2 linked regions of the Arabidopsis thaliana genome follow. The protein of the gene in region 2 interacts with the protein of the main gene of each other region in a pairwise test. Each region holds a gene or a part of one and is shown on either strand. Other genes may lie near its edges. The genes, in order: AT5G52547 and UBA2A.

Region 1 (4,355 bases), on a different chromosome or scaffold from region 2:
GAAACAATTCAAAATTGGACAGAAATCCCTAAATTCATCGCCAAAACCTCATGGATTTCGTTGAGTGGTGGTAATTACTAGCTAGTCAACCTAGGCACCTACTTCGATTACAACTGAACAACGATGGAGAGAAGAAGCAGAGAGTTCATATGCAACTTGGGAACTAATAACAGATGAAAAATGTTGTAAAGATTTAGAGAGTATCCATGGAAAGCAACTTACAAAGCTAAAGCGTGATCTCACAGACGCAGACTTCAATAAAAAAAAAAAAGCAGGAGCAGCAGAATCGGAATTTATGGCTGTAACCAGTAAAGGACTATCCGGTTAAACGAGAAAACCGAACCGGTGATTCGGACAAAATTAGTCAATTGTCATTCATCAAGTTATAAAGCCAGCTGACTTTATTAAACGACGTCGCTTCATTTTAACCAAATAAAAGCATCTCCATATTTACCAATTGAAATAATACAAAATCAAAAGTTTGGGATACATCTGAAGGGTTTTTACCTTTTAAATTTTAACAACCTCTATGAAAATATAAACATTTGAAAAAAATGTGAAAGTGTTTGGGATACATTTGACTCTCAAAACTTGACACAGACTCTACACTCTCAAAACTTGATACACTCACAAAATTTGACACACAAACTCAAGTGAATCTTCACACGACCATAGCCTATATACTTCTACACAAAACAGAACAACACTTGCATGTACTTGCTATTTATGCTTCCTTGAACTCTTGCATCTCGACATGGACTTCATCCTTTTAAACTCTGAAATCGAATTTAAATTCATTTAGAACAGAACACAAACCAATCCATTTGAACACTAACACAAACCAATTAGAACAGAGCACAACCAAACCAATTTAGAACAGAACACAAACAACTTAAGATTCATAACCTAACTGAACAAAAACAAGTGAAGAAGCGTTAACCGAAACAAAAAAGACTAACTTTCAAGACATAAAAGACACCATTCAAGCATTTGACAATATGTCAGTGATAAGTTTGTTCTTTAAAGCCATTTCAAGATCACTAAGCGGCGCTGTTTTTCGAAGTAGAGTCTCCAACAACGTCTTCTTGCTAAGCTTCTCGTTCAATTCAAATTCCTTCTGCTTAATCTCCCACATGCTCTTAATCACTGACAGAGTCCTTTTAGCTTTCGCGGCCTTTGCCGCCTTAACACCTGATGGACGAGACATTGCTTCATCTGAATGGCTAACTGCCTGGGAGCTTGATGACTGTGCAGAAGCTTGAGATCCATCGCTTTCTTCATCTACAAACCCACCAGTATCCTGCAAGGTATATGTAAAAGTATTTAGAAGATGACACAAAGTAACATAAAGACAGAATAACAAACAAGATCTGTCATTCTACAGTTGGTTTCAATCGCGTGTTTACAAGTTTGATCCTCAATAGAAAAAGCTAGACAAAAATCAACTTGAAAGAGTTTGAACTGACATGAACAAAAATTGCATTAGAGATTGGTGTTACCATTTGATTGCAGAAACAACTAGAGTGAGAAAAGTATTGTTCCAAGCTCAAGAACTTAAAAAAGAATGTATAGTCTGCAATTCTGCATCCACCTGAAAATAACAGCTCTCAAGATTTCAGTAAGAGTACAAAATAAACACTTAATAGTAATGTATCACATAAGGACCATAAAACCGAAAATAATGGCATATGACCAATTGTTCATCAAAAGCTACAAAAGAAATGCATAAACCAATCTAACAATACTACAGTAACTCAATATTTCCTAATCACTATTAAAAAAACAGAGGCTTCTCCACGAGAATTGCAGTTAGCTCTCTCTATTGAACAGGATCTGTAGTCAAATTTATTGTCTGTTCCAAGTGTGATGAACTCACAATAATCAATAGTTCAAAACAGCTCAATTAAGAAAAACACCAGAAACAAGCCAAAATTGAACAGAAAACCCTAATCACTAGTTAGTCAACCTAGTCACCTACTTCGAGCACATCTCGACACACAACTGAACAACGCTGGAGAGAAGAAGCAGAGAGTTCATATACTTAGGAACTAATAACAGATGAAGAATGTTGTAAAGATTTAGAGAGTATCAATGGAAAGCAACTTACAAAGCTAAAGCACGCAGACTTCAATAAAAAAAAGCAGGAGCACCAGAATCAGAATTTATGGCTGTAACTACTAACTAGTAACTAGTAAATGTCTATCCGGTTTAACATAAAACCGAACCGGTGATTGGAACGTCAAAAATTAGTCACTCACCAAGTCAGAGACCACGTCGTTTCATTTTAGTTAAATGATTCTCGCAACGTCCGAATTTTTACTTTGAAGTTTGAAGCTATTGCTAGTAGCCTAGTAGTATTGAAAATGCCAGTGAATTGAGAAGGATTAAATTAAGTACAACCACAAAGGAAACAAAAACACAGATCGTATGAGTCTCACTTCACTAAAAAGCTAAAGAGAGATGAAGGATTTGCACAGTGTAAGAGACGAAAAAGTTGTTTTGGTTGTGTAAAATAAAAAACAGCACACAAACTTTTAATAAGTTACAAATGCTTGGGAATTATGATACAGTCGTCATCTTCTGAACATCCCATTGAAGACAATTGCGTCAACGTCAGTATTCTCAGAGATCTGTAGTGACGACACAGCTTGAGTATCAAACAAATCAGCTGATATTCCCATGTTGTTGTTGTTGTTATCCCATCCCCTTGCGAAAGGCTCATATGAGACTGACGACCAGTTACTGTCTCTTGTTCTGTTGTTATCATGAACCGCGTAGCTTGAGCACCGTTGGTGAGGAAAGAATCTGTTTATTCCACCACTAAAAAGATTGATTTTGGTAGTATAGTCCCATGGCTTGAAACCTGTTTCTTGGTTTAGCGTGTTTCGGTATGAGTCATCACAATCTTCGCCAAGTAAGACGTGCAGAGCAACAGCCTCTGCTATGGCGGCACCTTCCTCATCCAATCGCCTTTGTTCCTCAAGTTTTCTAAGCTTCTTCTTCTCTAGCTCAGCCCTGATGGCTGCAGAAGTAGCGATGGATTTCTCAATACGTCTCTTTTTCCTCTCTGCTTGTTTGATACGCTCCAGTTCCTCTCTCTCCTGCTTCTTCTTTGCAGCATATGCTGAATCTTCTTCAACTGCTGCGTCTAGCTGTCCTTCCTTCTTCATTTGCTTCTTCTTCTCTAGCTCAGCGCGGATCGCTGCAGTAGTAGCAATAGCTTTCTCAAGACGTCTCTTTTTCTTCTCAGCAATGGCAGCACCTTCCTCAGCCAATCTCTTTTGTTCCTCAAGTTTTCTAAGCTTCTTCTTCTCTAGCTCAGCCATGATGGCTGCAGAAGTAGCGATGGATTTCTCCAGCCGATTCTTTTTATTCTCTGCTTGTTTGATACGCTCCAGTTCGTCTCTCTCCTGCTTCTTCTTTGCAGCATCTGCTGAATCTTCTTCATCTGCTGCCTCTAGCTGTCCTTCCTTCTTCATTTGCTTCTTCTTCTCTAGCTCAGCCCGAATTGCTGCAGAAGTAGCAATAGCTTTCTCAAGACGTCTATTTTTCTTCTCAGCTTGTTTAATTGGGTCCACTACACCTTTTACTTTTTTCTTCCTGGCTTTTCTAACAATTGGCTGAGCTTGTTTGCACATCGAGCTACTGCTATCCATGATTGCTACAAGTCTTTGTTTGCCTTGCTTTTGTTAACTGGCTTCTTCTTTTAGTTGGTTGTTTCCTTTTACTTTGATTCTACCAAACTCACTACACCAAGGCGCGATGATCTCAATGACTACTACACCCACTCAGGTATGTAGGTATACCTCATTTTACGGACAATACAATCCCAAACAGAAACAACAGGAGATAAGAGAAGGGAGACGTTGTAGGAGTTTGCAGAGTTATCCTTTGAAAGCATTCGTCCTAATTTCCAACATCCCTTAACTTCTCCCATTTTCTACAAAAGAAAACAATACTAGATTAGACTTGCGTTAACAGGGATCTCAAAAATAATATACCAAACCAAACCAACCCATCTGCTTTCTTAACCTAATGAAAGCTGCACGACCACACAGTTCTATTTTCTATATGGCTATATGCAAAAACATTAAACAAGAAAGCTTTTTCACAACCAGATGTTACCCAGCTGATTACTTAATTACTCACTCAGGTTACCAACCTATAAACACAATTGCACAAGGGACCTAGAAGATACAGTGATTCAAAAGAACTAACACTGGTCAACAAACCAAGATAAATCAACCAAAGTTGAATGTACATACTCTCGATCAACATTGAAACCCAAATTCGGAAAGCTAGCCACAAACTACACAAAGTAATCCACGAAACATGGACATAAAAAGTCAATTTGA
Region 2 (6,130 bases):
GAAGAAGAGAACCCAGAAATCAAATCGAAGGAAATGGCAGAGAGAAATCACGGCGTTGTAGCAATCAGAAAGAGTCTTGGGAATTGCATGCAGCATCGAAGGCTATCAAATGCAGATACTAAACATGGAAATCGCAACACAAGGACAATCAAACTCTTGCGAGGTACAGACTTTTCGAAGAAGAAGAATAAATCAAAAACTTAAGCAAGAGAAAAAGCAACAATCTTTTGGAGCTTAAAAAGGACCAGATCTAAAACATGGCAAGTTTGGGTTTTTCTTTCTCAAAAGAGAAACGAAACTATGATAAGTGCAGAGACAGATTTACAAAGCAAACCTAAACTCTGTGTCTGTGTGTGTCTGAGTCTCTCTCTCTCTCTTCGTTTTGTTTTCGCGCAGGAGAGGAAAAAAGAGAAGAGAGAGAAAACCTTTTGATTGAGAAAGTGACACTCGATACTGTGGCAATGCCCCCCTCTCAAGCCTCCTGTGGAATTTTCAATGCGTTTCTTCTTTTTTTAGTTGCCCAAAAATGGTTTCTCAAACTTTCGATCAAAATAAGAAACAGAGGTTTGTTTAAACACTTAATGATTAGTGATTAACTTAAATGAAGGTGGAATCAATAAACACTACATGTGCTCGGAGACCCTTCATTCATTTAGCTTCAATGGGAATTTAGGTAGATTGATTATCAAACTTTAATCAGAAAAGGTTATACATATACATGTTTATGTTCTTTGGCTCTCAACACTAATCCTCATGCCTATGAGTTTCTCTTTAAATGGTAAGTGATTACTATAAATTAATCTGCAATCATGTTAAACCATTTTTAGGCAATAATTTACATGTATTTTTTTGCAATATTGAAATCTCAAACCTTTAATTATACTTTCTATTATCCAATCTCAGATTGGGTTTTATGAACATTGAATGTGGCTTTGAAGAATATTGCATCTTGGATTCTCTTCATCAATGAAGGACCTTTTTCCCTTTTCGAAACTTGACATAACAATTGAGAGATTGTTGACTTGAGATCAAATACACAAAACTCTACTACTTACTTCCCCCAATTCCACTTCAGCTTCATATTCTGCTTCTCTTCTTCATCATCAATGAACCCTTCTACTATGTATCATCATCATAAATAATATTCAAAGCTGCACTTTTCCAAAAAGAGATTTCACCATCAAAGCAATCATCACCAAAAAAACTTTATGCATTCACGCCTTTATAAACTCCTCTGAAACATTAAGGGAAATAATATATCACCTCGTACTCTTGTGACTTTTCTAATAATCCCTGAACCTTGTGCACAAGGACCTGAAGGTACATGCTCTCTAGACCAAAACCAACTTTTATCACTTCAAAGAGGGACTAGGACCAATAAACAAGAACATATATAGGCAAGAGATTCGCACTGAGAGATATACTTTTAACACTTTTGATTACTTACCCTTCAATTGGAAGCACGTTGTATATAGCCAAAGAAGATACTCAACACTTTGAACTTACCTTTTAGTTGCAAGCATGTTGTGGAGATCCAAAGACTTAACTGCCTGTTGTCGAGAAACTCTATTCGATAGCTTCCACTTTTCAAATATTGAGAAATTGCCTCAGAAAGATCATTCTTCAGCTGTGTCGTTGAGAAGCTTGCACCACTTCCCACCAAGTTTGACTGTTCCAAGTTGGCTGCAACTTAGTAATTTTATGACAAATAAGTTTGGAAACAAAGTTCTAATTTGAAATAGTCATTGTAAAAACTTTTGAAACTTGTCATAGAAAATCCAAAAACACAAGTGAGAGAGCTCTGCTGCATTTTAAAATTCCAAGTTTTGATCATTTCAGAACCAATTGCATTCAGATTAGTATATGTGTGCTAAAGAAATTTCATTGACAGTTAGGGGTACATAATCTGGCTGTTCAACCGCAGTCAATTACCTGCAAGAGGAATAATTGAACAAACATAAAATCAGGATAGTACATAAAGCCAGGTTAATCAAGATAACTTGGTACAAAATACACTGCAGGCAGAAAAACACATGAAATCGTAAAACAGAGAAGTCAATAAAAACTATTTAGGAAAAACTAGAGTTCGATAAGCAAAGACCCACATGGAGCGTAGTTGCGCTTTTTTAGTTTTACAAATGAAAGTCTAAGGGGGATATTCAGAAAACTGAAAAAATAGAGACATAAACACTGAAAATAGTAGTACAAAGTTTTTTTTAGGAATTTCATAAAGAGAGTTTGGGAAAAACAAGTAGATGAAAACTAAAACTCCTTAAAAGGTTTTTTATGAGTTTGGCCTTAGGAGTGACCAAAGAGTAACATTTCATAAAGACTTCATTTAGCATCAGCTCCTTATAAACTTGAGAAGAATCACCAGGCCAATATTAAAACACTGATTTCTGATATCTGCACAATGAATTTAAGAAAATAAGAGAAGTAACATGCTTTAACAACCGTTGCAAAATCCCCCAAAACTCCAATGCAAACAAAAACCATGTGGATATACACAGAAACTTCTTGTCTTCAGACATCAGTAAGTTAATATATACTGAGGAAAGACATTTCAACAATTAAACAAGGGAAATTCATTGCTCTACCTGAGTGGATGGATACATGATACATTTAGTGACCCATGTAAGGAGTACCGTATGGCCCGACACCATGTTGCCCTCTACTTGTACCGCCTTGACCAGGTTGCGGAGTCTGATAACCGCCTTGCAACCCAGGTTGTGTACCGTACCCAGGCATTGTCCCCGGTGCCATAGCTTGAGTACCGTAACCAGTTGGCATTCCAACTCCATTCCCTGGGTTTACACCAGCAGCTGTCCCCAAGGAACCCAACAAAGCCTGTCCAATTGCCGGATTAAAAGCCAAACCAGCTCCCTGAGATGCCAATAAAGCTGTCAAGGCCTGTCCAATGGCCGGGTTTATCACCTGTGCCGTTGGACCACCCATCCCAGCTGGGTTACCAGCCATGAGATGTCCATGACCTCCAGGCGGACCATAACCATTGTTATCATTCCTTTGGTAACGAGGATTGTTATAGGCGTGTGGGTTATGGTGATGCTGCTGCTGCTTGCCCGGTTTGGGACCATCGATAGCTTTCTGGCAATGCAAGATATGGCCTTCAAAAGTCTTGTGTGGCTCCTCCAAAGCCCTCTTGGCGCTTTCAGACGACTTATAAACAAAGAGACAGAAACCTTTAGGTCTCCCAGTATACTTATCAAGACCCAAAGGACCTTCTTCAATTTCTCCAAACTTTGAGAAAAACATCAGCAACTTCTGTGGATCAAGCTCTGCTCCGACATTACTAACATAAATCTTTTTCTGAGTATGCTCCGAGTTCGAATGCTGAGCAGGCGCTGAAACAGCTGCAGCAGCGATAGGAGCTCCACCAAAGACAGGTCCTTTAGAAGCCAATTGGCATGCCGTCATACGACTACCAATCTTCTTCTGAGGCTGCTTGAGTGCGTTGCGAGCACCTGAACGAGACTTGTACAGAATAAAGCCATAACCTTTAGATTTCCCTGAGATCTTATCAAACACAGCCTTGCAATCTTCGATCTCTCCGTACTGCTTAAAAGCTTCAATAAGCGTCTCTGTTTTCGTATCCCAACCAAGACCGTGCACAAAGATCTTCCGATGAACAGGGTCCTCATCAGCTACTTCCCTAATTCGATTGGCTACATCAACATGCTTCTCCGCTGCTTCCTTAAGAAGACTCAAAACTTGCTCCTTTGAAAATGGTTCCAACAGATCCTGAATTGGTTCATCGTCATCATCTTCTTGATTGCCAGATCCAGACGTCGCCGCCGCCTCTATACGATTCCCATCCGTCTGATCCTCATTCTCATCACCATCATCTTCATCGTCATCATCTTCTACTTCTTCTTCTTGCTCTTCCTCTACTTCCTCGTATTCAACTTCTTCAACGTCTCCTTGATTATCCTGATTTTTAATTACAAGCTGCTGCTCCTCCTCCGGCGTCTGCTTCAGCTTCTGCGACGGTTCTTCAGCTTCGTTAGATTCTTCTCCTTCGAGCTTTCTCTTCTTTGTCATTTTCGAATTCTAATGGAGATTTTAGGGTTTCGAATGTTTTCTTTGGTTTCTTCTCCAAAAAGCTGATTTTCCCCTCCTTATCTATAATGCGCCGCTATGTGGGTGGTATATCATCAACCTCAAGTCTTTGCTAAGTGGATTTTTACACATTTACCCCTAACCATTTTATATATATAAGCCCATTAATGATTATTGGGCTTTAAGTTTAAAGACCCATTTACGAAAAGATGCTTAAGTAAGAAAAAAAGAATAACGTCAAAGTTCCCGCCATGTGTTTCCCGCGAGACTTGACGGCTCATAAGATTAGTCAGAACTCAGAAGACAAGACAACCAAAGAAAAGGTTTCGCCTCCCTTCTTACAAAGAGCTGCAATTTTCAGTCTCTTGGTCTTCTTCTTCGTCTTGTTTTCAAATTAATGTCTCTCTGTCTCTTTAGTGAACCCTAGATCCAGAAATTAGAGTTTGGAGCCCAGGATTCGGCATTCATTTCCCTTCTCTATCCAATTAAGCGTTGATTAAGACTTAAGGTAAATTCAATGTCCTAGATTCAATTTCTCTTTGATTCATTCATCTACTTTACCCAGATCTGCTCTTTACCATTCTCGAATCGATACAGCTACAAAAAAAATTGATGTAGCGAAATTAGGGTTTTCGCCGCCCATTGTGAATTTCATTTTTTAATTTGCATGTCCTTTTTCGTGGTCAGATTTGTGCAATTGATTTTCTAAGAAAAGAGTTTTGGTTTCAAATTGTGTTTAGTAGCTAATTGATGTTCGTTTCTCTGATTGGCTTAATGAAATTTAGGATTCTGGTTTATTGTTGTTAGCACTTAGCAGTATCCTTACCGGTAATTCCTTTGTTTGTTTCAATCCAGGAGCGCGGGGATTATACGAGCTTAATCAGTTGTTAGCAAGTAATTATCTGATAGTTACAATGGTGGAGTTAAGAAGTAGCACACACTTGAACTCTCATGTACATTATATCCGAACCATTAAAGACGGATCTATCAAAATAGTGATGAATATGGATGGCAGAAGAAAACCAAAGCTCAAATTTAGACAGTTGGTGGATATATACAATCTTGAAGACAGTCAAGGTGTTGAGTCAATTCCAAGAGTAGTCAGGGATTTGGACAATGGTTCTGATTTTACACAAGGTTCTGAGTCTGAAGATTTTAGCATGACAACATTGGAGATGATTCAGAAACAATGCAAAGAAAGGAAAAGGAAACTTAGAAACTGCAGAGATACTACTACTGAGACATTCTCGAACGTTGAAGTTAAAAAAGAGTATGTGACCCAAGATGAAGGATGTGATATTGAGGAGCCTCTTAGCAGTTGGGATACGAAATTCTCCAAGAGAAGGAAGAAGAAGCAGGAGCGTAAAAAAGCAAAGTGTGGTACTTCTACTTCCTCTCCTCCATCTGTGGAAAAGGTTGATTTGCCGTTGGTGCTCTTTCATGTCAAGCCTGAAGTTTGGGATGATAGCTATTCAGTTTCTGAAGCCATGGATTGTAGTGAAAAGTCAGAATCTCCTATAAATACAGTGTTGGTGGAAGAAATAATGCTTGATTCGTCCAGTGACATGAGGCTGGTTCCATACTGCAGTGCAGAGCCAAATTTTCCCGGAGTGGTAGCCATTGAGGAAGCTTTTGAAGATGCATCAGAAGAGTTTAGCGATGCTGATTTTCAGAATAAGCAAATTGTTTTGTACTCTAGTGTGTCTAGAGAGGAGATGGAATTGGATGTTAATCCACAACATTCAGAATATGAGAACATTGGTTGTGTAAAGAACTTCATTTCTGCTTACACAAGCTCTGGGTGCGAAGAAGAAGATAAAGAGGATGAGGAAAGCAATGATATAAAGGCTAACTTAGATATGAGTGTAACTGGTTTGGAGATTGTGAAGATAGAAGCTCCAGAAATACTTGCTATTGATTACCCCGGTTGTTTGTCCATCATCAATTTTTGTGCAGAAGATTCCGAGATTGTGTGGGAAACTGAAGACATTACTAAGGATAATTTTCCTGAAGCAACTGATATTCTCCAGCTGACCAACTGTTGTAATTCACT

What was found.
Region 1: the proteins of UBA2A (region 2) and AT5G52547 interact in a two-hybrid assay, tested with the Arabidopsis thaliana proteins (one large-scale study listed by BioGRID).

The regions. Positions count from the first base shown.
Region 1 is NC_003076.8:21,325,341-21,329,695, forward strand, and holds AT5G52547 (uncharacterized protein), read right to left. Parts: upstream 2,159-4,355; 5' UTR 2,108-2,158; intron 2,098-2,107; exon of another isoform or gene 1,967-2,097; intron 1,711-1,966; exon of another isoform or gene 1,592-1,710; 5' UTR 1,503-1,591; coding exon 1,500-1,502; intron 1,301-1,499; coding exon 983-1,300; 3' UTR 523-982; downstream 1-522. Other genes in the region: AT5G52550 (stress response NST1-like protein), read right to left, coding at 2,574-3,656.
Region 2 is NC_003074.8:21,048,086-21,054,215, forward strand, and holds UBA2A (UBP1-associated protein 2A), read right to left. Parts: upstream 4,236-6,130; 5' UTR 4,060-4,235; coding exon 2,623-4,059; 3' UTR 2,598-2,622; exon of another isoform or gene 1,670-2,597; 3' UTR 642-1,669; downstream 1-641. Other genes in the region: AT3G56870 (uncharacterized protein), read left to right, coding at 4,992-6,130. UniProt on the Arabidopsis thaliana protein: Heterogeneous nuclear ribonucleoprotein (hnRNP)-like protein that acts as a component of a complex regulating the turnover of mRNAs in the nucleus. Binds with high affinity to RNA molecules that contain U-rich sequences in 3'-UTRs.